Alligator mississippiensis: one gene and its partners. The protein of the gene in region 1 interacts with the protein of each later gene in a biochemical or structural test. Links are inferred from orthologs where the notes say so. Each region holds a gene or a part of one and is shown on either strand. Other genes may lie near its edges.

The links.
Region 2: the proteins of ERBB2 (region 1) and CRKL form a complex in vitro, tested with the Homo sapiens proteins (2 studies listed by BioGRID and IntAct, with this or other methods). The link is inferred for Alligator mississippiensis from reciprocal best matches to the Homo sapiens genes ERBB2 and CRKL.
Region 3: of the proteins of ERBB2 (region 1) and PTPN3, one has a biochemical effect on the other in vitro, tested with the Homo sapiens proteins (2 studies listed by IntAct, with this or other methods). The link is inferred for Alligator mississippiensis from reciprocal best matches to the Homo sapiens genes ERBB2 and PTPN3.
Region 4: the proteins of ERBB2 (region 1) and SH2B3 form a complex in vitro, tested with the Homo sapiens proteins (2 studies listed by BioGRID and IntAct, with this or other methods). The link is inferred for Alligator mississippiensis from reciprocal best matches to the Homo sapiens genes ERBB2 and SH2B3.

The regions. Positions count from the first base shown.
Region 1 is NC_081827.1:165,333,970-165,341,398, reverse strand, and holds the start of ERBB2 (receptor tyrosine-protein kinase erbB-2), read left to right. Parts: upstream 1-4,426; 5' UTR 4,427-4,665; coding exon 4,666-4,753; intron 4,754-7,429. UniProt on the Homo sapiens protein: Protein tyrosine kinase that is part of several cell surface receptor complexes, but that apparently needs a coreceptor for ligand binding. Essential component of a neuregulin-receptor complex, although neuregulins do not interact with it alone.
Region 2 is NC_081833.1:18,949,717-18,957,676, reverse strand, and holds the start of CRKL (crk-like protein), read left to right. Parts: upstream 1-4,951; 5' UTR 4,952-5,052; coding exon 5,053-5,366; intron 5,367-7,960. UniProt on the Homo sapiens protein: May mediate the transduction of intracellular signals.
Region 3 is NC_081828.1:77,596,249-77,604,264, reverse strand, and holds the start of PTPN3 (tyrosine-protein phosphatase non-receptor type 3), read left to right. Parts: upstream 1-5,007; 5' UTR 5,008-5,143; coding exon 5,144-5,192; intron 5,193-8,016.
Region 4 is NC_081833.1:3,531,329-3,538,164, reverse strand, and holds the start of SH2B3 (SH2B adapter protein 3), read right to left. Parts: upstream 3,018-6,836; 5' UTR 2,517-3,017; coding exon 1,953-2,516; intron 416-1,952; exon of another isoform or gene 295-415; intron 138-294; exon of another isoform or gene 1-137. UniProt on the Homo sapiens protein: Links T-cell receptor activation signal to phospholipase C-gamma-1, GRB2 and phosphatidylinositol 3-kinase.

The DNA of each region.
Region 1 (7,429 bases):
CCTGCCTGGCTGGGGGCAGTTTCCATGGAGACCCCAGCAACAGCCTCACTGTGATAGTGCAAGGCCAGGGTTTCCATGGAGACTGGCCCCAGCAGCACTGGCAGGGTGCAGGGCCAGGGCAGAGCTGCAATTGGCTGCCTGCATGCTCCAGGCAGGGGTGTGCAGGCAGTGGATCACAGCTCTGGCCCAGCTCCTCCCAGCACCACTGCCATCACTGCCTGCCCCACACAGGTGGCAGCAGCTGAGCTTGCCCCACTCTCACCCGCAGCACAGCCCCTCCAGGCCTCCCACCAGGAAGAGTCTGGCGCTGCTGGGGTCGGTCTCCACCGAAACCCTGGCCCCTGGCTGCTGCTGGGGTCTCCATGGAAACTGGCCCCAGCTACTTGGGCTGGGGCTTCTGGGAAATGGAGTCCACTACTGACCGGATCTGGACTGCGACCCAGACTTTACCCACTCCCATTTTAGGTAAAAATAGGTGCAAACTTTTCCAGGCAGACCAATCCTCAAGTACCACTCTGTGTGTAAAGAAGGCCTAAGAAAGATAACATGGGTGCCTTCATGCCAAATTGGCAGAAGGTTTTGATTTGAAACTATCCAGGCCTAAGTGAGCTATGGGTCTTCCATCATGGAAACTCCTTTCAAAACAGTGCTGTAAAATCACTGACAAAGAGAGAGCCAGTTGCAATGCTAGATGGGACCAAACTCTTTGTCTTCAAATCAGCTAACATCCTTTACCAAGCTCACTCTGGGCTACCCTCCAAGATGCAACTGTGTTTTAACCCTCCCCCCCAATGTAAGAGGCTCCCCTTCCCTTCATTCTTCCTTCCCAGTCCTTGCACTCCACTTGCTTCTGCTCACTCACACACAGACATCTCAACCAAAGCACAATTGCTGCAATTGTAAAGCAGGGCCTGGCTGTTATCAGGTGCAGATTACAGAGAACACAGAGCAATAAACTTGTTTTCCCCTCTTTCTTTTCCCTCCCATTTTCAAACTGCTGCAAGAAAGAGAGGGAGAGAAAAAATAAATAAAACAACAACAACAGATGGGTTTTTTTTCTTCTCCTCTTGGCTGCCTGAAGGGCTCGGCAGAGGCTTGAATGGAGTTCATTCTCTAATAGTCCCTCCTTCATCCAAGATTTTCCTCCCCGGGGTGTAATCTGTCAACCCAACTCCTCCCCCAAACCACCCTCCCCTGCCCTGTGCTCTCCTTCAACTCAGAGACAGAACTGTGGCAGTCTATTGTAGCCCGGATGACAACTTCCAGCTACATGAGGAAATGAAGTGAGGTCTGCCAAAGGGAGCAAGCTCCTCATATTAGTCTTTTCAGGCTGGGGACAGGCACCAAGCAGTAAGCACCAAATTCCCAGCAGCAGCATCATGTCAATATCCACTCAGATCCAGTTCGCACATGTACTTTAGAGACGTTCCAGGACATAACCAAACTACCCTGTGCTAGTGGAAACATTTAGGATTTTAACTAGCGGGCTCTTCTCATACGCATTATCTTAAGAGTATTAACTAGCAACAGTTCCTTGTACCGAGAAACTGAAGAGGCTGCTCTTAAGTTGGGATACAGTATATTATATAGAAGAATAACTCTGAGATACTGTACCCCTCAGAAGCCTTCTGCCCGCCACGTTCAAAGACCTTAGAATATGAAGCCTCACAGTCTCCTGTATTTAAGATCCGTTGTGCTGTTTTAGAGCAAGGGAAACTGAGGCCTAAAAAGGTGAAGTGACATGTCTGAAGGGGTCCAGTTGGGTATGGCACAGATCCCAGTATGGGACCTGGGAGTCCTGTCTCCCAGTCACCTGCATTGACTAAATTAAGCAACCTGCAGTAAGGAAGTGACAACTCCTTGGCTCAGCGCTCAGTTACATTTCAGTGTGGAGGGCTGAAGTTTAGAAGGCAGAGCTGGATATGGGACCAAATTCAGCCTTGGGGCAAAACCACTACGAGTCCTTTGAAAAATCAGGGGGAATGGCAACATTATGAGAGCATCATCCACACTGGAATTGGCCCATTTGAGTGCATGAATGGCACTTGAATGCTGACTCCCTAAAGAACTCCAACAATAAGCAGCAAAAGTAACTGATCTGTCTTGGGGCTTTTAGTCTTGTCACGCTCATGTCTGGATAATCTGAATCAACGCAGGCTAACACCCTCTATTCAGTGAGCTAGAACTACCCTCTCACATAACACTTTATGGCTGGGGTGGGCAAAATGCAGCCCAGGAGCCAGATGTGGCCTGCCAGGCCATTTTATCTGGCCCGCGGGGCCCCTAAAAAATTTAGAAAATTCATATTAATCTGCCCTGGGCTGCCTGTCATGCAGCCCTTGATGGCTTGCCGAAACTCAGTAAGTGGCCCTCTGCCCAAAATCATTGCCCGCCCCGACTTTATAGGATCCTTTTTCTTCCTGGCAAGGTAAGGAGATGGGGCAGGCTGGAAGGCATCTTTCCACAGATTTTCAGGCCATAACGGGCCTTACTGATTATCCAAATTTACCTTCATTATCCTAATTAGGACTTTTCCATGGCATCCAGCCCATAGTAGTACCAGTTATTTCCTCACCCAGAAGCAAAGAGAGGTCTCTGCTGCTCAGTTTCAATCCAATTTGACTTTTCACAAAGTTTTGCAGTGCTCAGATTCAGGATCTTGATGCTGGTTCATCTACCAATCAGGGATTGAATAGGCCAAGAAATCCATCCTGGGAGCCTCTCAAGCTCCACCCACAGACCAAACTCCTCCCCTTGAGAGGTCAGAACAAAAGGCCACTTACAGATCTTATACTTTCACCCTTCTCCTTTCTCAGATATCCTTATCAGCAGCAACATAATTAACAGTGAATACACAAAGTAAAATGTATCAGCCCTGATCCACAGACTTCAGAGCTAACACCAGGCAGCAAGGGGCAGTTCACACCCCATGGATCTTTTGTTTCAGACTTTCAGCAAATTCAAGCAAAGATCAGCATTTATTTACAGTCCAGGATCTGAAGACTTTTTCACATTCCCATAAACACCTCTTAAGGAAAGCTTGGATTCTGGAGTGTAAGGAGGTCATCTCCACATAATCTCCTTGTGACAACACCACCCTGGCAATTTACAACTCTTATTTCTCCTATCAAGAAATGCCACTAATTAAGAAATATCAGGGGCAGGAGTGGTGATGTGAGATGCTAAAAACTCCAAGATCAGACTATTTTTCTTACAGCTTGAAGGAGGGACAAGGCGGCAAGCACCAACAGACAGTCTGATTTCTGAGGGGCTGAAGTTACTGATATGGGAGCTGGTGCCATCATATTTAAGTACCCCACAATTTTCCTTGCTAATTATTACACTGCAGTGTGGCAGGGCAGTGCCACTGTCCATCTATACAGAGTGGGGACTGGATCACAGTGCATCTACATGGCAGATTCTCCAGTGTATACATACCCAAACTTGCTGTACAGGAGCAGCTGCACAGAGCTCATTGTGAGCCAAGCTGTTTAATGGTAGTCTGGGTATCTTTGCACGTCAACGTAGGCTCAACCCTTACGTGACTTACCTACTATAGTCTCACACTGGAGCAAAATAGGGAACCTGGCGGCCACAGGACACTGGCAGCCCACATCCTCTTGCTTTACATGAGGTAGGTTAAGGTGTTTGTGGTGTCTTTGGGCAATATTCCTTGCAGTTGTGCAGCTGGGTTGATTGTGTGGTTTTAGGAACAGGCTAGACAAGGACTTGTATGGGATGGTTAAGATAGGCAGGGGGTTGGACCAGATAGCCTCCAGAGGTCCCTTCTAGCCCTGTCTTTATGACTCTTGGGCTTCCTATGATAGGAAGCCCAAGAGTATCCTAACACTTGCACCTTCCTTCCCTTTTGAAGGGGTTCAGCACCCTCACAGCCAACTGAAGATGATGACAGGCTGGGATTCACAGATAGGTGTAATGCCTATGCTTGGCATTACACCTATTCTTCAAAGGATCCTGGTGTTAATTTGGGCCCAGGGCCCAACCCTTCCCAGTGAGAGAAGCCTTTAAAAGCCCATCCCCTTCAAAAGCCTTCAACCCCCCTGGAAAACCTAGGTACGTATTTCACTGGTGTCTTGGGAACTGCACTCTTTTGGAAATCCATTGCTCAACCTCAGCCTGCAGAATGGCAGTGAAACCCATCTGCCAAGCCTCTCTCCCTTACACTCTCTTTTGTCTTTCCCTGGAGTGATTCCTAGAGCTGTTTGCCAGCTTGGGGGTACTAGAAAAAGAGATTTCCCCCCCACCAAGGCATAGGCAGAGATCAGCCCTTCCAGGCTGCAGTGTCATCCTATTTCTTCACCTCTCACTTGACTCAGATCTGTGCCAGGGCAGCCCGGGCTGGGCTGAGAAGGAACGAAAGAGGCAAAGAGCAAAGTGAAATCGGACTGACCCTGAAGCGGCAGCACAGGGAGAAGCTGCTTTCCCAGGAGGCGCACAATGGTCTTGGCACAGAGCAGGCACGGAGTGCCTTACCACTCCCAAGGGAGTTGGAATCCAGCTCAGGGGCGCGCCGCACGTCCCGAGGAGGAAGTGCAGTAGCAAAGTGGTGTGTCTCTGAGCTTGCAAAAGCAGGGAAAACACACGCGCGAACTTTCCTGGCCGGACCCCCCTCTCTCTGCCAGAAGCCATGGGCTGGAGTCTGCAATGAAAACGATGATCTCTCCCAGCAGCTGCTGCTTCTTCATGGGGCTGCTTTTAGCCTCTTTTTTGCCAGGCTTCTGGAGCACCGAAGGTGGGTCAGATTGGAAACGGAGGGGAGGGGGGAAAGAAATGGGGGAGGGGGTTGGAAACTGGAATGGGACGCTCAGGAAAGGGAGAAACTTCAGAGGGCCGGTGGGATGCGAGGGAAGGAAGGCAGCAGCTCTGGATCTTGAATATTCCGGACTCCAGCACCCCCGGGGGGGGCGGGAAGAGTGGGTGGAAAGCAACCCCCCAAAACTTCTGCTAAAGTTCATGGAACTCGCGTGGAGGCAGAGATCAGACCCACGGGAAGAATCGCGGTGAAGTTCCTCAAAGATTTAGCCGGGAAAAGCAGAAAACAAACTCCCCACCGCGAAGAGCCAAGTGCGAGGGGAGCCGGGAGCCGGGCAGGAGAAGAACTGGTCAATTACTCGAGCCGCGAACTTGACCAGGGCCCGCGAGCCCTGCAGTGATCCCGCCCGCTTCAGCCGCCACTCCAGTGTTGTTTCGTGGGGTTCATACCCCAACCAAAAAGGGCGATCGCTGCTTTTCTACCCCCGTCTCACTGTGCCGGCACCATGCCACAATCGGACGTGACCGTGAAGGCAGCGAGCGAACTGCAGTCGCTCTGGGACTGGCCGCGGTGCGGGGCCGGGAGAGAGAGACGGAGTTGGTTTTTAAAATGGTTTCTTTCATTCCTTTGCTGCTGCGCTGAGGCAGAGGGTGGCTTAGACATTTCGGATCTGTGGAGGGAGGTTTTATTGTTTGGTCGGTCGGCGATTTTGCTTCTGGAGCAGAAAAAAAAAGCAATATAAGGCAGGCACTAAAGTTTCAGGCTTGGCACTCTTTGCTCTCTGCGTGCGGGAAGTAAGGGGAGTGTGGCTAACTGGTAGGAGCCGGCTGGATCGCCTCTCAGGTGCTGGATGAGCTACGCGGCTCGGCACATACACTTGCATTTAGCTCGGTGTCCGTAGGGTCGCATCTGGGCCACTGGATAACCCAGAGAGGAGTTTACTTTGCAAAATTGGGAGTGTGGGGTTCTAGCTGGGCTTTGCAGCAGGCTTGGAAAGAGGTGTTTGTTTAGCAGGTTACAAAACACCTGATGGGGAAATAAGCTAGATGGCAAAGGTGTGGGTTCTCTGCATTGATGCAGATGGCAGTGTTGTTACCACCTCACCTGTCCTACCCGCTGGGTCAAGCCCTTTATGGCAGCTGAATGCTGTGAGGCTGCGGCCTTATGGCTACAAGTACATTTTGTTGGGGCAATTCTCACCCTGGGAGAGGAGAAAGGCAATCTAGCAGGTAGGGCTGGGAAGGGGAAAGGGGTGGGTAAGAATTACCTCATGAAGGCAACAAACAAGTCATGAGCATTTTCTGATTCCTTAGCTGGGTATGGGCAGGACTGGCAGATTAGGCAGATCCACTTGATGCCCATTTCTCTTAGCTCTGTAATACCCTCGATTTAGTGATAACAGGCCCTGAGCCTCAAAGAATAGTTTTTTGTGTCAGACCTGGCATCCTGAAGTGCTTCACAGACTTCACATGTACAAGAATAACCTCACTGCATGGTGATGCAGCCACTGCTGGGGTGGAGCTGCTTCATAGTCTAGACTTTGCCAGGTGTAGTCCTGGCAGAAGAGCCTTACAACCAGCCTTCCCTATGTCCTACCTTCTCTGTGCTGAGGGAAAGCTCTGCCTCTACTTGCGCCAGGCTAGCTGGAACTCGTGGAAGGAGTCTAGATAGTCTATATCCTTTAGCAGGCTGTGCCATGAGGCTGGCCCTGGTGACATGGTGGTCACAGTCCAGAAGAAGGCTACCCAAGAGTTTGACAGGAAGTAAAAGGAAAACTCCTTCAAATGGAATCCACAGGAGGGAGCAGGATTTCACTTGGCAGAATTTATTTGGTCAGGACACCTGCTCTTGAAGGGTGGAGCAGAATCCCACAGGATTCCCATATTATATCAAGTAAGGGTAAATTAGCTTGATACCTCAGCTGAAAGACAGAGCCTATGCCCCTGCTTGCTATGGTTCAGAGGGAGAGCTGCCTAGTGCCTACTGCTGCAAGAGCACTGTTTGGGTTTCCCTGTGGGTGTGTCTGTCTGCCTCTCTCTTTCTCATACACATTCTCTGTCCACACCCCATCCTATTCTGCTGGTGAGATCCTAGCAAACACCTGATAGTAAGTCACTTTCCCTAGTTCACATGCTAACCTGATTTGTCATGTTTACCTGGAAGAGAATATCTTACATGAACAGCCACATCAAATCCCCATGAAAGGGAACCCGTGTGGGGAATGTGGGATATTCTGGTGAGATCAGAATGACAGGGTTCCAAAGCAAACACCAGCACCATGCTGTTAACACTCCTGGCATTAAGAAGCCTGATCTGAGATTTTTTGGAAGGTCTTTGCAGAGGCTAAAAGTCACATTAGCTCCAGTCCTTTCTGGATGGAGTTCAGCTTGTGTGTGGTCCCATATACAGGTTGCCGTGCTCATGTTCAAGTATCCACAGCTCAGGCACCTGTAGAAACTCCCTCAGTCTATAGCATTACAAAGTCACTGCTGCAAAACTACTTTAGACAGTGGGTGGTCTGAACGAACTGAGCCTGACCTGTAGGATGTGGGGCAGGCACACAGGCCATTTACTTTGGGCGTGACTGCAAGGTTTACATGTAGTTTGACCCCTGGGGTGAATCTCTTTTATTTATGTATGTGCATTGTCTGAAGT
Region 2 (7,960 bases), on another chromosome or scaffold:
GTTTCCCTAGAAGCACTGCAAATGCATTAACAAGTGTTGCATTCAGCCACAGTTTTAATTGATGGTATGACACAATACTGCTAGGTTACTCTGAAAATGTCTGTTCTAAAGAAAATGGTTATACATTTTCTTTAGGCAAAAACATACACGACTATGGCCCCAAACAATTCCTTTTTAAGATATGAACAGTATGTTCTAAAGTCATGGTGTGTGACTCATCTATCTGCACATTTGCTTTAGTAAGTAACACAGAACTTTAATGTACTTTCAACCAAGCTGGTTAGGAATGGCTCACATCAGTTATAAGTGGATCTTTTCAAATGCATGTGTTTCATAATAAAATGTCTTAGCTTTAAGCTGGAAACACATATTACATGCAATGGTAAGCCCTTTGTAGTTCTTGTTTACTGGGGAAAAAAAGCATCCTTTCCAGAAATAAATTGCAGGAAATGGTACAGGTTGATGTGTTCAGTAATCACTGATGGTATGATCTCTAAGGAGAGACATTTTTTGAGGGCCTTGCCTTTACAAGCTCAAATAAGACTTGCACTTTCTGAAAGAAAAGCATGCCCTAGTAAAGGTTCTATTTGTTTTAACCCAGTTTTCAGTTATTTTAATTCCTATGATTTCCTGAATATGTCAGCCTTGTGTTTTTACTTTTCAGGGAGTTCTGGGTGACAATGGCATAGTACAAACGTTTCTAGAAATCGGAAAACAAACCTGTGGAAGAGCTTAAATGTTCAGACCAATAAAGTATAAGTATTTTATTCTGGTCAGATCAAGTAATTAAACACTGAAAAGTTCATCTTACTGATATATTGGGAAGGTCAATAATTGAGTTTATTCAATTGTTTATCTAATTTCCTGTAATGTTGTCCCCAGAACAGTAATGATGTTCAATATGCAGAAGTCTCATCATTGAACCCATATATTCTTTTCTACTTATTTACTAAGGACATCTCAAAATGTCAGGAAATCCACTTCTGCTGCAATAACTGTAATGACAGCAAGAACATAAAGTCAGGCTTCAAGCTCTAAATGCTAAGGACAGGGCTTCACTTACCCCTAACTGCAGAGTGAAAATACAGAATTAGAGAGGTGATTGTTCCTATGCATTTACAATCCTGACACACAGCTCCATTTAGCACAAAGCACCTTTTAAACCCTTAGAAAATGTTACAGTTAAGAGAGCCCAAACCCAGGGTGTGCTACAATGTGCTTTCCTCAAAATGGAGGCAGTGGATTTAGAACAGGGATGATATAAAAGTAATAGTTTGAGATGGGAAAGAAGGGAGTCACTGAAGAGAGATTTGAAGGGGGCAGAACTGGGTATTGCTGTTGAAAAAAGGAAGACAATCTGGTTCAGATGCAGGAAATGGTATGACAGAATGCTTCAAGCCCAGAGTTGGATGAAAAGTATGAAGGCAGCAGTGAAGCGAGTGAAAAAAGCACAGATGTGGGTAAGAACCAGATCATATCTTGAAGGTGAGGATAAGGAGGTCAAACCTAATGCAGGAAGAGGAAGCCAATGACAAGGTTCAAGAAGTGAAGAGATGACTTAGTAAAAGCATTTTTAAAGATTGTGAGAAAAGCATGGTGCATACAGTAGTTGGGACCCTTGATATTACACAAGCTAAACTGCTTCTATGAAAACAATCTTTTCAGATTTCCTCATTCTATTTGCATTGCTATAACAAAAAGGTACTTGACATTTCTAAACTGTCTTTTAAATCAGAGAGGTACCAAGCCCACAGCCCACTGGTATTTGTACTGAAAGTATTGCCATAACCATCAGGGTGCAAAGGTCCAATGTTAAGATTCCCTATTATGTTCAAGTATGCAACATAACATTATACAGTACTTTGGCTGAAGCCATAGCTGTTTAACACAGTTTGCAGCCTGCTGTTTGGATTTTTGCTGGATTTGCACAAATTTTAGTGAACTTGTTTACTGAACTTTTTCAGGGTTTCACATTTGGAAGAGAAAAATGCTTATTTCTGCCTCCGCTTTTGTTCCAGAACTGCTTCTCCTGCCATTTCCCTTTTCCAAAACAACCCATCACCAAAAAATCCAACTTTCAAAATTGGTTTATCCGTTTTCATCATCTTTATTTTCAATCAAAGGATTTTGAATGTTCACTACCAAAACAAAATAAAGAATTCCATCCTCTCCTGTCCTGTTGTCACTCCCAGCTCACCGGTTATGTGATTGTCAGCAAGTCATGACTGGGTCTAGTTTAAACCAGGATCTAATTCAGCTACAGCTGTTTAACTAGAAACAGGAATTACTTCACAGAAGTCCAGCAGCCTGTGTGTATGCAGGAAGTAAAAAATGCAGGTTTGCAGTAGTCCCTTCTGGACTAGAATTTTTGGATCCTTCTCTGTCTAAGAGATGATGTTCTTTCATTCTCACTCAAGAAAGCAAGGTAGGAAGTAGTTCAGTTCCATACAGCACAAAATTCCAGATTGGTTCCCACGCTACCTATCCAGAGCAAAGATATTACAACTAGACCAACATATGTTTTCTAATAAAATATTGCTTACTCTTGACATTTTAGTTGCTTTACTAACTAAAGAGAGTCCAGACAAAACTGGAATAGAATCTTGAACTAGCTTATCACATCCCTTTGCTATGATCTGGTTTATTAGAAAGTGAAAGATGAATTAGTAAGAAATTAACACTAACTTCTTCACTGTTGTTTTTTAACTGTCCCTGATTCTGCCACTTAATCACTGTAGCCTTAGACATATCCACTCTCTCTACCTCAAGTTTTCCCTTTGGTAAAACCGAGATTATAATACTTGCCTACTTCAGTGATGAGGTTTAATTTCATAATGCTTGTAATAGAGTTGTGTGTATAATGCTTTTTATCAAGTATTTTAGAAGCACTAATACAGCAACAATGCTTTTAACTAAAATATTATAAAGTGAAAATGCTTTCTCAAGTTTCCTATTTCAGCCATAATTACACTGAGACATGACTGAAGCCCATGTTTCAATTGGTGAAAGGCAATTTTATGAATTTCACAATCTAATCAACTAGAGTTGTGAACTCTTAATAGGAGTTGAACCCAAGGCAAAATTATTAGGCATCTTTTCCAAGAGAGCTATGGCATAGATATGAAGCTGTAATGATATGAAGCTGTAATTGGTATTCTTCACACCTGGGCCTAATCAATGTAGTTAGTACATATTACTGTAGGCTGTTACAGATGTCATTTTCCTCCTGCGAGATGACTGTATTTTAGTGGTTGACACGGTGATACCTGTACATGTAAAATTAGGGGGGGGGTCTTTGGGAGCCTTTTATACCAAGGCTGGTATGGATACTCTAGTTGAAATGAGGTTCTGGATTTGATGCAATTTCCACCTTACATGAATTAGACAGTTATGAAAGTTTCAGTAATAAGATTTGGATTCCTGCTGGACTATTTATGAGTTAACAGTTATACTGTAAGTAACTAGCATAATTTTACCTAATTTTGCCAGAAAAATTGTGACCCCTGCTATCAGCGTGGCTGTTGTGTGCAGCTGTTTCTTGGATAATTTAAGGTTTTAAAAATAAGTTCCTGTTTTGTTAAGTTTTTCTTTGTTAGGCCCATGTTAAAGTGCTATAAAATTACAGCCCCTATTTTCCAACTTACAATATTTAGGCTTTACACCAGTTGCCATAGAAAGAGCAAAATACGTTGGGAAACTTGCCAAACATAGGAGCACAATCAGCAGCAACAGGGTACAAGGGAAAGAAAGATGCGGTATTCAAGCTGGAACGAACCCTGAACAGGGTCCAATTAGTAACGAAAGGTTATTTGTCTTCAGTCCAGTTCTTAATGCGAAGAGCCGTTTGACATTTCAGTGCCGTGTTTCTTTGCGGCCAGGGCGCCAACCCCACAAGTTGAAGGAAACGTGAGTCGGACTCCAGAAAAATCACTACACAGCCCCCAAATTCAGGGTGGGCTTCCTGGTCTGGCGGTTTCGAACCCACCGAGGCATGTGGGTGCGGCGACGTTCTGGGCCACGACAAAGCAGAGGGCAGCGACTGGGCCTCTCGCTGCCCGGGAGGGCGCAAGCTACCAGCTTTTACCACGGCTGGTTTCTCGTGCCCAGGCTCCAGGCCCCATTGCCGCGCGCTCATGCTACGTGACCCTAACAGCCGTGGGTCCGCCAGCGTCCGCCACCCAACCCTGGGCCCCCAGGCGATGTGGGGGTAGGGTGGCCATCACAGACGACAGTCCGGTTGTCCTCTATTGCTACAGAACCGGATGCCTTTATGTCTCCTCTCTTTTTCTCTTGAAGCGAAGGCCTAAAAACAGGGCACATAAAGGCATCGGGTTTCGTATCAACATAGGAGCAGACAACCGGAGAGTCCTCTACGATGGCCGCCCTACGGACACCCCGTCCCTCCCTCCCCGCGCAGCTCCTGGGGCCGGCCCCTCCTAGGGTATCGGCAACCCTCCCCGGGAGGCCGGTCCGCCCCAGCCCCCACGAGTGCTGCCGGCCCGGGAAAGCGGACACCCAGCCAGAGGGTCCGCGGACAAGATGGCCGCCGGCCGGGGCTGCCCCGCCACATGGCCCCGGGCCGCGCCCGGCCGCGCCGCGCCCTGCGGGGGGAGGGGGGCGCGGGGCGCGGGCCGCAGCGCCTCACGGTGTCCGGCGAGGGGGATCCGGCCCGGCCTCCGCACCCCGCGCTTGGCGCGGGGAGGGGCCGGGGGCCGCGGAGGGCGCGTGCGCGGGGCGGGGCAGCGCCTCCTCCCCCCGGCCACGAAAGGCGCCATTTTGGCGCTTGGCTCCGGGGACAGCGAGCGCCGGGATAAAGCAGCAGCCCGCCCCGGAGCCGGCACCAGCAGCGCCCTTCGGCCCGGCCCGGCTCTCGGCGCGCGCAGCAGCCGGAGCGCGAGGCGGGAAGGGAGAGGAAGGGGCGGGAAGGGAGAGGAAGGGGAGGGGAGGATGCCGCGCACGCCCCGCCGCTAAGGGAGACGCAGGGGCCCACCCGCCGGCCCGCCCAGCCGCACTCGCCCCTCGGCCTGGCCTGTGAGTGCCGCCGCCTCCGCCATGTCGTCCGCCGCGCGCTTCGACTCGGCGGACCGCTCGAGCTGGTACGTGGGGCCCGTGTCGCGGGCTGAGGCGCAGACGCGGCTGCAGGGGCAGCGCCACGGCATGTTCCTGGTGCGGGACTCGTCCACCTGCCCCGGCGACTACGTGCTGTCCGTGTCCGAGAACTCGCGCGTCTCGCACTACATCATCAACTCGCTGCCCAACCGCCGCTTCAAGATCGGCGACCAGGAGTTCGAGCACCTGCCCGCGCTGCTCGACTTCTACAAGATCCACTACCTGGACACCACCACGCTCATCGAGCCCGCGCCCAGGTACGGACCCCCGCCCCGCCCCGCCCCGCATGGCCCCTCCGCGCCGCCGTCCAGGTGCGCCCAGGTGAGGCGGCGCCGCGCTGCCATGGGCCCGGCCCGGCCCGCTGCGGCCGCGGGGAGGGCGTGGCCGGCGCTGGAAGCGGGTCCGCCCGGGGCCTGGGTGCTGCCTCTTGCTCATGGGCCCGGCCCAGGCACCGCCGGCTTCCCCCTGCTGCGGCCCTCTCCTGCCTGTGCCTTTTGGGGCGGTTTTAAGCCCTGGCAGTGCGGTGGGCAGCCCTGCTTGACTCATCACATGATGTAATGACATTCATGACTGATCTGCTGTACTCGGGAAGGCGCATTTTACCAACTTACGTTTTAAAAACCCACTGGACTGCTGCATAAGTCGGATTCAACATTTTAATGTTTATGTTAATGAATGCCTTATCATTTATCGCCCCCCCAGGTGACTCTCCGCAGTCTCCTGGAGACTATATCTTAATTCCTGGAGCGTGCAAGGCAGTCCCGGAGGGTTGGCAACCCTACCTGGCAGAGCTGCTCTAGGTGGTGGCTTCATGGTCCTTGGCCTGTTTTTTAGGACTGTATTTTCCATGCGTTTAAAGCCGAGCCTCCCTATGGTGGGGGGTTGAAGGACCTGCCGTTGTCCATCTGACCCTGTGGTGTGGAAGGGCTCTGTATCTGAACATGTGCATCCCCCTGCCTGCGGCTTAGGGCTGGAAAAGTTTGATTTCTTGTATGGGGAGGGTGGCGTTTGCAACTGGTGCTGACCCATGTTGATGTGACCCCTGCCCCAGCTGTGCTAGTGTGACTGGTCAGCTAGTGCTTGCCCTGATGTGTGAGGCAGTTCCCAGCTCTTTGCATCCAGTACAGACCCGTACAGCTGAATCATAAGGGAACATAGAAGCAAATATTGATAGGCCAAGTGCTGCTTTTTTAAAATGGGGTTTTGGCTTCCTTCCTCTATTTGAGCAGTTTAAAATTCTCACTGCTTGCATCTGCTCATGACTTCTACTCCTTCCTATTCACCTAAATTGATTCTTGATCAGATTTGGAGCCAGATTTAGCTTTGCCTTTAATTACTAAGGGTCAAATATTCTTGTCCAAAAGAATAAGTGCCTGAAGAAGGAGGAAAGCTTGGAGCTGTCAAGAAAAGCTTCTTGGTCGAGATAGCAAGCAAGGAAGCAGTTCTCCAAGGAATGTGGTAGAAATGTCATTCCTTAAAACTTTGAAAAAATGGTGTATAGGTAACGATTGTGCTTTGGCAGGAAGATGCCTGGGCTGGACGTTCACTGATGCTCCTACACAGCTGCAGGAGCAGTTGGATGGAGATGTCCAGCATTTCTGTACAAGTTTGTCAGTGGAGGAATGTGGCTCGTTGGTGACGCTCCTTTGCAGTCTTTACTTGCTTTCAGTTGCTGGTTGGGTGCTGTTCTGTGACTGGGTTTTCTTTTAACCCATTTGCTATTTTGATCCTATTAGACTTGATCCAGACAAATGTGCATCTGGTATCTGTTTGGAGGTCTCAAATTATGCATGGGTGGATTTGCTTCAATTATATTAATATGCAGGCAAAAGTACCATAGAAATAAATCCCTCTTCCTACAAAAAGAGTTGGGTTGTCAGTTATGTTGAACTGCTGAGCTTCCTGTAACTATTGCAATACTGCAGTTTGGACTCATTACAAGAAAAATCATACTGTACCCAAAGCTGTCTAAATCTTTACTATGAATTTTTGTACTAAAGATTAGAAATTCAGTGACTTCATTAGGGTGTAAAGTCTTCCTAAAAAGAGGCCACATTCTGGAAGGAAGAGGTCAAGATGTAATATTAAAGAATACGTTATCCACTGGCTCTTCTCTTCAGTGAAGTTACTCCCTCCAAGACCTTGGTTGGGTAGAAAAGGGCATTATGCATAACGCAGAACTGCTTGTTTGTATAGTGAGTGAACATTTGATGTACAGTAGCATTTTTCTTTACGAGAGCTGACACTATACTTCAGTAAACATTTCAGAATCATCTATATATCGGTAACCTTATTTTGAATTGGCCAAGAGTTTGTCCATCATGGCAACAGCCTCCATGCCCTCTTTTGGTTGCTCTTCACTTTCAGCCAGCATTAAAATTGTCCGCTATGTAATATATTTTTCATGGTAACTAGATTTGTACTTTTTATGCGAGTATAAGAGAAGTGAAGATGCAAATACAAAGGCACTAAAGTACCAGCCACAGGGTTTCTTACCATGTTGTTTAACTCTCACTGGTAAATTCTGTCTCATTTACATTTGTACTTCCCAAGTAATTACCGCAAGTCATGTTGGACTAGTGGTGGGCAAAGTACTGAAGAGGCATTTTGGTGAGTTGTAATTGTGAATTATTCTCAGAAAAAGTGAATATGAAGATGGATAGTAAGTGAATGAATGTGCTGTAAATCGGGGGTGGAGGATATGTCCAAAATATGGACTATGGTCAAAATCCAGCCCACAGAGCCGTATTATCCAGCCCCTGATGCTGCCCATGGATCTCAGTCACCCACAGGCAGCACGTCGGGTATTGCAGGATGACCCTGCGTGCTGCATACTGTGCTCACTCCAGAT
Region 3 (8,016 bases), on another chromosome or scaffold:
TATAAGATTTACACCAATGGTGGGCATATATTCACCCTTACCCTGGTCATCCCACATCATGTTAGGCAGAGTGGTCCCTTTGGGCTGGTGAAAACTGGACGCAAAGTAATCATTAAGTAGATTGGCTTTTTCCTGAGTGTCATTTGTCAGCTGCCCCAGTTGGTTTAGCAGGGGTCCAATGTTGCCCTTGTTTTTCTTCTGACTCCCCACATATCTGAAAAAGGACTTTTTATTGTCCTTGATTCATGTAGCTAGTTTCAGTTTGGTTGCAGCCTTCGATTTCCTAGTTCACTCCATACAGGTGCAGACCACTGCCGAATACTCCTTCTTAGTGGTGTTTCCTGTTTTCCATCCTTTATAAGTCTTTCTTTTTAGACATAGGAGGTCCATGGGCTCCCTGTTGAGCTAAAGGGGTTGCTGAGCCCTTTTACCACCTTTCCTATAGGTTGGGATGGACTTCCCTTGTGCTCCAATTAGAAAAAATACAAAATCTGGTGATTTTTTTTTGTCCTTTTCATTTTTTTTTTTTTTTTTTTGCCATCCCAGGGTCTTTATGTTCTTAAATTATTTTTATTTTTTTTACTTTTTTATGAATGTACTACCAAATGAATAGACTGATTTAAAGCAGGTATGATTTATTAATTTATGGATATTTATTTTTCACATTATGATATGTGATTTTATAGTGTTTTTAACAGTATATTGTCATTATTAAATTATCTGCCCTCCTCACCCCTAATTTCGCACTATCCTGAAAATTTAAATCAATAAAGATCTAAATAAATGCTTAAAAATAAACATCAATTTTAGTCATTGGAATTTTTTAAAAAATCCAATTCTACCAAGCCTAACTATATGCAAGTCATCAGCACATAATACTAGAGCTTATGGGTGTCATTTGGTTCTTCAGATGGGGGTGCAGGTATGTGGACTGTGAAGCAGGAGGAAAGGAACTCAAAAGGAGAAAGTCAACTGCTGGAGAAGGTAGGTGTTAAATGAGTGAACATTTCATAATGTTGATATTATATGAAGCCTAGCAACTTTATGCCTAATTAATGAGTATTTTTGTGTGGGTGTACAAATATTGGAATGGATCCAGTGACTTGGCTTTGCTAGAAACCCATGTTGTGGCAAACTCATCTCTAAATGGTTGTATAATGGTACAACTCAGTGGCAACACATAGGGGGTGCACAGGGGTGCATGTGCACCCCCGGAGAATGCTGGTGCACCCCCTGCCAGGCCATGCTCCCTGTTTAGGCGACCAGCAGCGGGGCAGGCAGGAGTGCCAGCGTCCTCCCTGCAAGTACCAGCTGGGGAGTGGGGCCACCAGCAAAAGTGGCCAAGCTGCTTCCAGACGTGGCTATGGGACTTCTGGAAGTGGTGTGGCTGCTTTTGGTAAGTGTGATTGGCCACAGGGACACCTCCCCCCTACCCCGGTCAGGGCACGTGGGCCCCCTGAGTCAAGAGGCACCAGTTGCCCATGGTACAACCTGCCGACAGTTCCAGCTTGGGAATGGTGCGAGCAGGGCTAGCATAAGACTCTTTGCCATTCTAGGCAAATGAAATTTTGCCACCTTGCCTTTTTGTTCTTGGAGGACCTGACATTAGGCAGCCCCTTCTGCATCATACAGAACCCCCCAGGTTTTTCCCAGTAGCTGCTGCACCTAGAAGTGTGGCATGTGGTGTGGCTGCCCTGTCCTTGAGCCTCAGGAAGCTAGGCATGGCCCCCATGCCACTGTGCCCCAACTCAAATGTAGCTTCAGTGGCAGCAGTGTCCCTTGGGAGCCTGCCCAGAGTCCCCCATGCACTAGCAGTGGTGCAGCACCTTGCCCCTCAGAACAGCCCTGTGGTACCATGGCATACAGGGTGCTGAGTGGCCAGGCCATGGCAGCATCTTGCCAGGCTGACCTGCTGGTTCTTGATTCTGTTTATGCTGTCCCTGTCTGGCACCTACCTGTGATAAAGCCTTCTCTGCTGCTGTGGTGGCATCATGCCAAGCCTGGGCCCAGCCAAATGCATGCTCTGTGTGCCCATCCAAAGAAATGTTTTTCCTTACTCCTACAATTTGCCTTCCTAGGTGGCCATCTGTGCTGCCTATATGGCTAGTTTGGCCCTGAGTGGAAGCCCTCTGCCAAGAGACCCACACAAATGTGTCTGCACACAAACAATTCTTTCATATTGAAGTATCAAAACATATGAAAAATGAACACAAAGATAAGTTTAGCTACTACAAAATACAACCTTATCAGAACTTGTATCTGTATTTTCAAGACCACCTCCATGTGAAAAAGTTCATTTTGGGGGGAGAGAGAGTGAAAGCATATGGTCTTGGAGAATATGGCATGCCAACAGAATTAAAATGACAGACTTTTATTTATCCAGGTGAGATAAAGGCAGGAAATGTCCATATGAGTTCATTTTCCTCTGGGCAATGGGCTTGCTGTTTCTAGGAAGACTTATTGTTTTTAGAGGTGAGAATTGATTTAGTTTCTCTCACAAGGTCCCACTGTGAGGGAAAAAATGATCATTTGCCAAATTTCCCAATCTCTCTCTCTTTTTTAAAAATTATTATTATAAGTTCATGTTCCATTAAAAATGCAGCACTTCCCATCTCTGGTCTTTCAAATGTCAGCTGCCTACTGTCTTCCTTGTTACAATATTTTACAAGTGACTAATAGCAAACATTAGCTCCCTCATGTCACATTTCCTACAGAAGGTTCAAAGTACTCTATGAAGAATGGGAACAGTAATTATCCCCCTTTTACAGACCAGGAAACAGAAGCCCCAAGGGATGAAGTAAGTTGCCCAAACTGGTTGAGCAAATCAAAAGTAGTCAGGAACAGAATCCATACCTCCCATTTGCTACAGGAGAATTGCAACAAAAGAATTGCTCTAGTATTTTCTTTGCAACAGAAGAAATGCTCTAGTATTTTTCTGTAGTAAAAAAAAACAGTTAAAAGAACTGGTATTTTTTGAGAGGGGCCTTGAGTCTAATGAGGGCTGCTTTGAATCTAAAAAGGTTGAGAACCTCTTCATTAGACAGTGCTGCCTCACTTTCAGTAGCTTATGGTATGGCCAAGCATGCAGTAGAAGGGAAAAAAGGAGGATTTGGGTGTAATAGGCACACACTGGACCTGCCTCTGTACTGAGGCATGGGTGGCCAGGTTACAACCAAGCCAGTCGGCCCCATGCTGACCAGAGGAGCCCCACTGAATGGCCCAGAGCCCAGGGGCAACAGGCCAAAAATAGGCTGGAAAATGGAGACAGGAGGAGCACCCGCTGGGAGACCAGAAACAGCTCTGGCTGCTCTCTCCTCCACTGGAGCACCCAGGGAAGAGCTGCACACTCCCCCCTGCTCGAGCACACAAGGAAGTGGCAGATGGCCCCACACTTTTAGGAAGATGTGGACAGATTGGAATCAGTCCAGCAGAAAAAAACAAAAATGATTAGAGGACTGGGAAGCATGACATACAAGGAAAGGCTTAAAGAGTTGGTTATTTAAGAGAAGAGAAGACTGGGGGCAGGGATGATTTGATAACAGTCTTCAAATAACTGAAGGGTGAACCTTAGGAGAATAAAGATTGACTTTTCTCTATGGCATAGAGGACAGGACTAGGAGTAATGGCCTTAAACTGAAGCAGAGGAAATTTAGGTTGGCGATTAGGAGGAACTTTCTGACTATGAGGGAGGTCAAGCATTGGAACAGGCTACTTAAATGAACTGTGTAATCTTCAGCCCTTGACATTTTCAAGAGTACGTTGAGACGTTACTTGATTGGGATGGTTTAGACAGGGATGATCCTGTCTTGACCAAGTGCCTGAACTAGATGACCTTGTGAGGTTGTTTTCAGTCCTACTTTGCTATGTTCCTATAGCAACACTTCCCATGACTGGTGCAGCTCAAATCATGAAAGATCAGAGCGTGTCATGAAGGCACAGTCCAGTGTTGGGTGTGATGTGGAGCTCCAAGGCTAAATAACTATTTAAAAAAAGCATCATCTAAAGCAGGGGTGGGCAAAATGTGGCCTGCAGGCCAGATGTGGCCCACCAGGCCATTCTATCCAGCCCACAGGACCCCTAAAAAATTTAGAAAATTAATATTAATGTGGCCCTCGATGGCTTGCCAAAACTCAGTAAGCGGCCATCCACCCAAAATAATTGCCCGCCCCTGATAAAGTAACTGGCAAAGAAAAGCCTTTTTAACAATTACTCAATATTTATTTATTGACAAAGTACCCCAGTGTTTCTGGTGTTTCAGACACAATATAATCATTTTAGTTATGAGGCTCAAACGCTTACTGCTGAACAACTTTCCTAAATGATCAGTCATAATGTTGCACTTAAGTCTATAATAGGAGTTTTGTGCCTGCCTCAATAGAAAACAAACTAGTAAATGTTTAAAAGAGGAAAACCACCAATTATTCCATAGCAGCACACTATCTTAAATCCCCAATTTTATTATTTTGCTGGACGAGGAGTCTGAAGTATGCATAATAGATCACATAAATACAAAACATAAAGAATGACTGAAAGCAATTACATTATTGAACACAAAATTTTAATTTGTCACTGTTTTGCACATGTACCATAAAAATAAAGTAGTCCAAAACAGCACATATAAGGAGGCTTTATCTGATTCCAGTTACCACAAGGCACCCAAATATCACAAGAAAAAACAAAATTATAATACTGTATAATATACTTATTGTACTGTGTTGGTTATTCAGTATTTACTTTATGCAGTATATCTTTATTTTAACCCCTTGTATTTTTTGCAGGTTTTCCAGTACCAAATTTAAACCTAGTTTTGTTTTAAAGCATGTGGACTGTAAAACTGTGTAAGTACTGGAACTTCAAATGAAGTGTTAGGTGACTACTCCCATTCACAAATCAGATGCACGCTGCATTTTTAAGGGTGGATATTTGTTGCAATGAATCAATTAAAACCTTTTCTGACACGTTAAATGTGTGTTCCTAGACCTGTTTCACAGGTTTCGCAGAAGGGAAAATAACAACATGTGACAGCACCTAGGAGCCAAATGTACAAGAGAAGATCAGAGGTTTGCATGAGTGAGCTTGGCTTTCCAAAATACTTTTTGAAACACTATTAAAGGGACTGTAGAAATATCCAGCACAGAGCACCATGGTGGAGCAAGAGATTTTGCAATCGTGTAGTTATCCTCCAGAAAAATGTAAGTGTGAAAAATTTGATTTTTGATAAGAAATGGAGAAAATGAAAGAAAAAAATTTAGCTATTGTAGTTGTAAAAGTATGGGAAGTAGTAAAGAAGTCTTCAAATGAATAAATGTAGAAGCAATTAGCTTTACCTTTATGAACTTGTAAGCTTGATGGGCAAAAGAGAAGCGTTTTTACCTGAAGGACTCTTCTATGAAGCATTTTGAAAGTTTTTAAATGTAAAACTTGCTGCTTTTATTTGCAAACTTTATTCATGCTATTAACTGCTTCAGTATTGGAGACATGAACAGTGAGTTTTTGTTACCTTGAAATAACTTGCATAATAGACTGAAGCGCTGGGAAAGCATTTTCTAGCAAGACAGGGCATGAAAAATACAATATGCAGAGACTTTTTTCTTAAGTTGTCAGGAAGCTTTCTATCCCTTTGTCCAAATATCAGCTGAGGGTTATCAGCACTGTCTTAAATTCAGGCAGGAAACAGAAGTGAACTGTCACTGAGCTTCACTGCCAATTTAATATTTATTTTAATACAGGAAAATGAAACAGTAAATGAATAAAATATCGCTTTTTTTTCTTGTTTTTGGAGGAGGAAACATATGGGGGGGCTGTCGGTTTTTGTTTTGTTTCGTTTTCTCGTTGGTGGTGGCAGTGTTATTAAGGAGTTATCTATCCATTTTTGGACAAAGGCAAATATAATTTTAAGTACTGTTGACTAAAAATGTAGCAGAAAACCAAAAATTTAGGAAACTAATTACTAATGGGTATGGATTGAATAAGTCTAAAATGGAGCTGTTTAAGCAAAATCATAAAGAAGGGTAGAATTTGGAACTGATATGCCCGTAAACCTCTTGGATGCCCTGCCAAAGTGAAGCTTCAAAGTCAAGGCAGTTCCCTCCTCCTGAATATAGTGCTTTCTAGCTTTTAAGTGACTTGGCTTCTTTGTTTTGGCAACATAAGATTTGATAACATGTTATCGCCTCAGATTTGCTTCTAATAAAAGGACTGGTTTTCATCTGAAAATGAAGATGTAGTTTGCTAAATGTTCTACAGGGTTTTCCAGATACATGGAAGAATTTTTTTTGAGTGATTAACAAGATAACAGAGCCTCATCTCCATGAAAACACTGAATCTCCAGGAGTGGAAATTTATTGTCTATTTTGTCCTCTTTATATTCTGTACACTCCTCCTTTTACATGAAGGAGAACACAAGCTTGAAGAGAAGAGGGCAGCTTTTTTTCTTTCTCCCACTGTTTATTTCCTACCTGAGAGCATGCTTGTGGTGTGGTTCCCCTGAAAGAACCATGCCAGTGAGCTGAAAAAATAAAAACCCACTCCCTCCTCATACATATGACTGATGGTTATAGAGGTCTTGATGGAAAAGACATAGCATCAGACCTTCAGTTCTTCAGCACCGATCAGTACAAATGGGCTGTAAAATTGGATTCCTGAAAATTATCTCTGAATATCAAAGGATCAAGCTGTTCCCCATATTCCTACCCCCTGTATAGGAGTGGGGGCTGTTGCAAGGGAAGTATGATCAAAACACAGCTACCCCCAGCTGCCAGAACAGCTTCCTCAGAGCAGCAGGGAGCAACTTAGCACTTAATACCTGGGGTGCTCTGAAATGTTCTATGGGATCAAACCACTTCTGGCTGCTTTCTCGGAGGCCTCAAGAGTGGGGAGTTACAAGGGTAGCATTAATCCTCCTTTGCTGTCCAGATTGGTTCTGCACTGGGCCTTGCTTGCTTGGCAGAGGAACAATACCCTAGGAGGATTTTGATGTCAAATGACTGCAATGGACATTTTCTAAAATTCTTAAAGGATGCCAAGAATTGTGGTATTTGTGGCTATGGAACGGTAATGCTTTGTTTTGTCTGCAAAGTGCTCTTTTTCTATTCCAGTGAAATCTGTGTGCAGAAGCAAACAGTTGTTTTATTTTCAGATTTGTTGCAGTCTGTGTGACAGAAATGAAGTATACATAGTGCTTGTTTGTGGTGAGCTTAATTGTGTTCTCAATCTAAAATAACAGCAATATTGGATTGAAATCATACAACTGCTTTTTATGGACTATATAAGGTCAATGAAACTATTAAATTATTCCTCTGCACATAGTTTGTAGAACTTGGTGGTGTGTGTGGGTGAATGGGTAGGTGGGTGCATCTAGACATGCTATTAGTGAGATGCAATAAACTCTGGTGCACTTTGCACCACTCATGTGCTTTAAGGCACAGCATTTACATGTGCACCTGGAACCACAGAAGTCTCAGCCAGGGTGGAGCAGCCACAGACTGGCAGAAAGTCCTGGGGGTATGCCCCAGGCTCAGGGTGGTGGCAGAGGGCAGCAAAGTGGCCGGCTGGGGCACAAGGGTGCTATAGCGTGGGGCTAGCCTGGAAGCAGCCCCCACACTTTAGCACCCTTGTGTCCTAACTAGCCCATGTCACAGCCTACACATGTTCAATCACATGCAAATACTCTGCCCTAAGATAGTACTGTCCCTGACAGACTATGGCGGAGTTAATTCCTGTGCCTTAATACCAGTGCATGTATAGACTGTGACACTTTAGTGTGGACCTAATTAATCTACTCCACAGTAAAGCTCACATGTAGAAGCACCCAGTGTGTGTGTGTTTTCTGTCTCAGTTTTGACACCAAACTGAATCAGTACTTCATATGAGAAAGAGCTTATTGCAACTTGCTGTGTAGAATCAGCAGCAGATTGATAGAAGACTCTTTTTAGCAAGGCTTTGTGAAAGGGAGTGAACTTAATACAGGAATGAAGGCTTGTATTCAGCACAGTGAAGAAAATCAGGTCTATGATG
Region 4 (6,836 bases), on another chromosome or scaffold:
ACGGAGGCCGGCTCACAGAGTCAGATGGAAACTGAGCCTCTTGGAGAGAATTTAATCACAAAGAGGGAGCAGCCAGGGAGGAGCCTAAGCCTTCCTCGGGCAGCTCTGCAAGCTTAAAGGGAGCACCCCGGCAGCAAGGATGTGCTGCTGTCCCCGTGCCCCCACCTCTGTCTGGAGGCTGTGCCCGGGCACCGGGCATGCTGGCAGGTGGGTGCCGTCAGGCCGGCTTTCCCTCCAGCTGTTGCAGGGTGTCCCCTGCCTCCCCCCTCCCTGCCCCTGGAAGGTGCATGTCACCTGGCTCCACGGGTCCTCATGCTTCCCAGGCCGCCCCGTCAGCCAGATTCAAGCCCCCGCGCCGGGTCCTGCATTGCTGCAGCCTCATGCCAGGCACTCTCCGTTTCCTAGAAGGCAGGGTAGATTTGCACCTTCTAGAGACACACACACACACACACACACACACACACACACACACACACACACACGTATATTTATAGCACAAGCCTTTGTGTGCTGAAGCTCACTTTGTCAGATGCTGCAACTCAGTTTCCTGCCCTAGCTTCCAACTTGGGTTCCCCTGCCACAGTGAACCGGCTCTTTCAAGCAGGGGGAAAAAATCCCCCCCAAAACAGGCCAAATAGTTTGAAGACTGTCATGACTTGGGAGCCTAGCTGCATCTGGCTGGACGTGGCCCAGCAACCCCCACGAGGCACCGGGCTGCAGGCTCCCAACAGCAGCCGGCGTCAAAACCCCCTTCGTCGCTCCAGGATTACAGGCAGCCGGAGCCAGGGAGGAGAGGGGATGGGGTTACCCACATTGCCTTCGCAGGCAAGTGTCCGGTGTCAGGTCAGACGCTCTGCGCACGCTCCTCAGAGCCGGCCCTGCGGATCCAGGCACACATCCTCCCCCCAACACGCACCTGTCTTGCAATCCATCACGAAAAGAGCAGCTCGGACCCAGAAGGGAGGACGGCCCGGCCTGAAACACCCCGACGTGCTCGCTGCGCGGAAGCAGGGTGCAGCACCTCACGGCTCTCCCCAGGAGGCTGTCTCTTCCCCCGCTCGCGGGCACTCGGGTGCTGTCTGACAAACCTTCCCCTAGACCCTTCCCGTCAGGCTCCTCGGCCCGCATCAGAACCATCTTCTGGACCGAGCCCGGTGAGGTTGTGAGCGCTTAAAATGTTTCTTTAAAAAAAAAAAAGCCACTGGGAGGTCTCCCAGCATGACTAAAAACACCCAGACTCCTGCTCCTCCGTACAGGCTGGGATAACCCAACCGACTCGGGTGGAGTTATCACCGATTTACACAGCGCGGGGAAAGCAACCCAGGCCGTACGTGCACACACCTACACAACACGCTCCGGGAGTAAGCGGGCCGATCCTCATCTCCGTCCAACGCCAACCTAGAGGAGCGCCACCGGCCTGGCTCGCTCCGAGGCCCCTAGAGCGCACGTGCTGCTCACAGCGGACGAGGGCGCCCGCCGCGCGGAGGGGAGACGGGCCAGAGAGCACGCGGGCCCGCGTCCCCAGGAAGGCACACGCGCCTGCTCTCGCCGGTCGCTTCCCTCCCCTCTCTCTCCTCCCAACACGCCCTTTGAAGGTGAACGTGCTTCAGAGACCCGCGACGAAGACAAGCGCGCCAAAGCCGCGCTCGCTTCGCTTCGACTTCAACTGAGAGCGCTGGAGCTGGGCCCGCACCCTCGGCGCGCGGTGGGACGTGAGTGCGCGCGGGGTGCTCCACGGCCACGCGCGGCAGGGAGCGCCACTACCACCCGTGGCCCCGGGGCCTCCCCGCCGTGTCCGCGCGCACACGTCCTGCCGCCTCGGCGGCCAGGGACAGGGGGCACTTTTCAAGCCCACATTGCTCCCGCGCCCGGAGCATGCACACGCACGTGCACAGGCAGGGGTGCATGCACACACACACACACACACACACGCGCGCGCGGGCCGGCCCTACCTGCAGCAGCAGCAGCGGCGGCGGCGGCGGCGCGGGGCCATGGCGCGGCGGCTGCACCTCGCCCGGCTCGGCCGGGCCGGGCTGGGCTGGGCTGGGGCGGAGCTGTCCCCGCGCCGCTCCCGCAAGCTCCGCCCGCGCCTCGTGCCGGGCGAGGAGGGGCAGGGGTAGGGGCAGCGGCAGCCCTCCGGCCCGACTCCTCTGCTGGAGGGGCTGAGGTGCCCTGGGTGCCTCACCCTGCCACGCGGGAAAGCCTCCTCTTGCCCCGGGTGGGCGCGCACCTGACGAGCCCCGGCTAATAGCCAACACCTGCGCGCAAGGGCGAGCGCGCTCCCGCCCCCGCCCCTGCCCCTGCCCCTGCCCCGGGCCGGGCCGGGCGCTGCTCCCCCGCAAGGTGCTCCGGGGCTGGGTGCAGGGCAAGCCGCAGGCCGGATTGCTGCCCGCGTTTCTGGTGCGTAAGGCGAGGGATGCAGCTATACGTGGACCCCCGGTGCCATCTAGCGGGGCCTTGGCGCAGGGTGGCGGAGACCTGTTTTCTGTCTCAAACAAGAGCTTTTTATAGGGCATCAGCTCTTGAAAGCCTCCTCATTCATCTGCCTCTGGCCAGCCCAGGGAACAAAGTCACGCTCCAGCTCCAGCTCCAGCTCCGGCTCCGGGGGGGAGGGTGCCAAGGCACAGAGCAGGACGCCCCTCTTCCGGCAAGGACAAGCGGGGACGCCTCGTCCTGCATTCGCCGCACGTCCTGCTCTCGCTGCGGCACAAGAGGAGCAGGGCAGAGCGCCGCAACAGCGATGCCAGGGCGGTGCGTGGCGAGCAGCTGGCACGCCGGACACCTGTGCTTCGATGCATCCGTCACCTGCCAGGAGCGGTGCTCAGGGGAGTTTTGTCACTTCCTGAATTGTCGTTAGGAGTAAGAGTGAATAATAAGCTGCTGCAAAAATGGCATGCACGCGTGCTTCAGGGAGATACGCTGGAAGCCGGAGGCAAGAGCCAAGAAAGAAGAAGCTTTCACCTCCCTGTCTGACCTCGGACACCTCCAGGGAAGAAGCCGGCCTCGTCCGAGCATCGCAGAGCGGCCCTCTCGCCAAAGGGCCCTGAGGCTCCCAGGGGAATAAACTCCCACCTCTACCTCCCCTGTGCAAAATGAAGTTTCTTTTCTACCTGGGAGAACTCGGCCTCAAGAAGGGTGCGTGTACCCAAAAGTTTGCAAAGAAATCTTTTTTTTTTGCTACTGTTTAGTTGGTCTCATCATCAAAGAGCCCACCTCTGACCCAAGAGCTCCGTTTGTGCACAATGCATGCTGGCATCCTCCACGTGGCTTCCAAGGAGGATCTGCGAACCAGACGTGCCTTGCCTTGGTACCACAGACAGACCCTTGCCACTCGAGCTACCCAGCGCCTGTTGGCCTCTGCGGACAGCAGCTCCTATTTGGACTCGAGGCACCCCGTGCCAGGCTTACGGCACCCCTTAGAAAATGCCAGTGCTTACTTTTCACTCATTGCTTGACTGTGGAAAAATAATCAAGCAATTCTGCTGTTGCAAAGAACTCAGCAAGACCACAACAGCTCAGCATGTTCTTCATGCTCTGGCGTCCTATTCGAGGTCTCTGGGTTTCTCTTCTTGGCACATGTGACACCAAAAGGATCTCGGGGCCCCCGGGTTGAGCATCACGGTGCTGGAGGGTCACCTTGCCAGGGGTTTCCCTTGCCATTTGCAAAATGACAGCAGAGAGCAGGCGCGCGCTGTCTGCTGCTGGCTTTGAGGGGGCTCGGATCTCATGGGAGACAATCCCAGAGACCTGGCACGACAGCAGCGTGCACGAGACTCGAACCCAGCACACTGGAGTTTGGCTGGAAACGAGCTCTTGCAGCCTCTCCGCTGGCTTATTAGTAACATGAAGCGGGGAGTGGGGGCAGACTCGTACTGATCGTGGCCTGAGGAAGCACTCGTGAACCTCCCGAGTGAAAGAAGTGAGCCCAGCCTGCATGGTCTCCTGGTGCTCGTCTCGAGCGCGTTTCCTCTCCTCTGTGACTAGTGGCCATGAACTGGAAGCAGGAGCCGGAGACAGCTGGAATCCAGATGTTTCCATGAGGCGGGGGCACTGCAGAGCCCAGCTCCGAGGGGCAGCGCCAGGCACTTGCACCGAAACGTAAGAATAGAGGAGGAAGCGCCGTGCCATGCGGGAGACCCGGCTTTCCAGTCCCCGCTGCGCCAGAAGCGGAAGGGAAAGACGGAGGGTACGTTCCTGCCTCTTGCTCCCACTGAGCTGGCCGCCCCGGGTAGCAGTCAGGCTCCATCGTAGCCTGTCGCAAATCTCCCGCTGACGTCGGGGGGCTCAGGAATTCCCCCACCGTCCCAGGGACAGTGAGTGGGCAGCCAGGCCCTTGCAGGCCAGCAAGCATGTTACCAGCCCACCCCTCTCCTCTAGCTCACTCTCCCAGCCGCTTGTCAGGAGGTGGAGGCCAGTAGCTATTACCGGACGCCCCCAAAAGCCTCACAGCATTGTTATTTATAGCCCACAGGCCCTTCCAGTCCAGCTTGCTGCGGTGCATGCTGCACAAACCCAGGCCAGTCAGTGACTCAGAAGTCTCTTCTCTTCGCTGGGTGTTTAAGCTCCGGTCTCTGCGTAATAAACCCACTGACTCTCCAGTCATCCAGCAAAAGCAGGAAGTCCTGACCTCACATGCTCTGGGTAATGTTTAAACAGCCTCCCCGAACCACCACCGCTGACTGCTGAGCCTGCCTTTCCTAACACATGTCCCTGGCATCATAAGTGCCTCCCGGTCATCAGTGTATAGATCACAGCCTGGGGGGCAGGGAGACGCTGGTCCCCTGTATTCAAAGGCTGCGCCTATACTGCACAGTGCCGCGGAGATACCCCAAACCTGCCGAGGGCGTCTCGTGGTAAATTAGCCCCGGCAGAGCCCTGCTCTGCTGCGAAAGTAGAGCTCACTCCTGCATCCCGACACGGCGCTGCACTGGGCAGGGTGAACGCGCCTTCAGTGACTGGCCCAAGGTCATACAGAAAGGCTGTGGCACAGCTGGCATGAGAACAGTCTTCCCTGCCTTGAAACCTGGGACAAGGGAACAAGCCGTTTCCCCTCGCCCATGACCTCAAACTGCTCAAAACGCGAATTTCCCAGTTTTTTAAACAATTAAAATTCCCAACTTCAAAATTTGGAGTCTGACATTCCCACTGTTAAAGCAACCCCCACCTCCTTTCCCTTCCACTTGTTCCCCAACACGGCAAAACATGGGGCTCTGAAATAGTTTGCAATTTCCATCAATACCCGGACAAGGTACCGCTGAGGCCTGCCTTGGAAAGAGGTCTTGGGTGTCAGGCCCCAGAGGGGATGCTGAGGGCGAAGAGATTCTTGCAACAATGCCATTTTCTCTCGGCTGCTTCAAAAGACTGTTTTCCAGACGGGGCGACGCAGAGGTGGTGAGCGCAGGATGAAGCTCAGGGCACAGAGCTTACAAAATCACCTTAATAAAAATAACCTGTATGCCCACGTCCCCATACACAGTGTAGCTGCAGCTTCTGAGATCCACCTGTGCCGGGCCGTGGTCTCGTTCCCAGGGGAGATACTGATTTCAGCAGTCCTGTTTGATTTACACAAATCCGAGCAGGCAAGGCTCGTGCGTGCCAGCCGTGACTGCTGCGGCTCCGCCGGGGAGCCGTGAAGGAATGGACTGAGATAGGTCTATCTACTTACTTGCCACGTGTTACACCACAACGCATCTCCACGTTCCCCAGCCAAAATAAGCAGCACAAGTGGAGACCAAAGTGTGCAAAAGCAAGCAGGCTGGGTGTGGACTGATGTTTCCATCCCTAGACAGCTCCGTCTGGATTAAGTTGATGGGAGGCCATCAGAGCCAGAACAATAGGTCAGTCTGCACAAGAGAGGAAACCCTCTTTAATTAATGAGCCAGCCAGATAGCGGCCTGCCCAGGGGGTTGTGTTTAATTAGTTTGCTCTTCCGGCCTGCTTACTTACCTTTGTGCTCGGCTTCTCAGTATCAAGTCGCCTGGCTCCCCGCAGCCCAGACCGAGGGCGCGGTAGTTTAGCAAGGGGCGTTCGTGTGGGAGGTGACGAGGTGCATGCATTGCCCTATTTCATGTTCATTTACTACGGGGAAGAAAGGGGGGTTCAAACAAAGTCTGCGGGCAAGGCTCAACCACCCCCGCCCTGTGCTGTGTTCTGCGGTTTGCTGCATGGAGACCTCGCGCTTGAACCAAACTCAGCTGTGTGGGCAAAGTTCTCCCACGTACTGGTGTCAGACTGGCTTACGGCCGTACAGTCAGTCAGCTGGCACCGGGAGTGACCGATCTGATCATCCTCAAGCCCTTGCTGGAACGAAGCCTTTTGGGAAGACACCAAACCCTCCTGCTGCCTTTGCTGCAGAACAGAGACACGCTGCCATCTCACACGCTCAGACGGGCGTCTGGGTAAAGACCAAGTCCAATTTCTGCAGGTGATTCAAAAAACCCAGAAGGTAATGCCTTTTGGGATTCCTATCCCTTGTTTCGCCCTCCCTACACCTAGCCAAAGTCCCTGACCTCTGCAGAGCAAGAATCACCTCGATCTTCACATTTTGTCCAACACTGCTTAAAGACAGCAACACTCATTTCCACGGTGGCTTATGACTGGCGTGCAACTCTCACGCCTGGACCCGCAGACACATTTGTGTCTACTTTCACATGCACAAACCTGCCTATTGGGGTCAAGGCACTTGAGGTGCCTCCATTATTCACAGCATTGGGTGCACTGCTGTGTGGCTGGGCTCCCCTGGCACTTGTCCGGTGAGCAGTAGCTGGGTGGTTAATGGTTTTGTGTTCAGGAATACATGCAACAAGATGTAAGCGTGTAAAAGGAGTCAGCTGGAA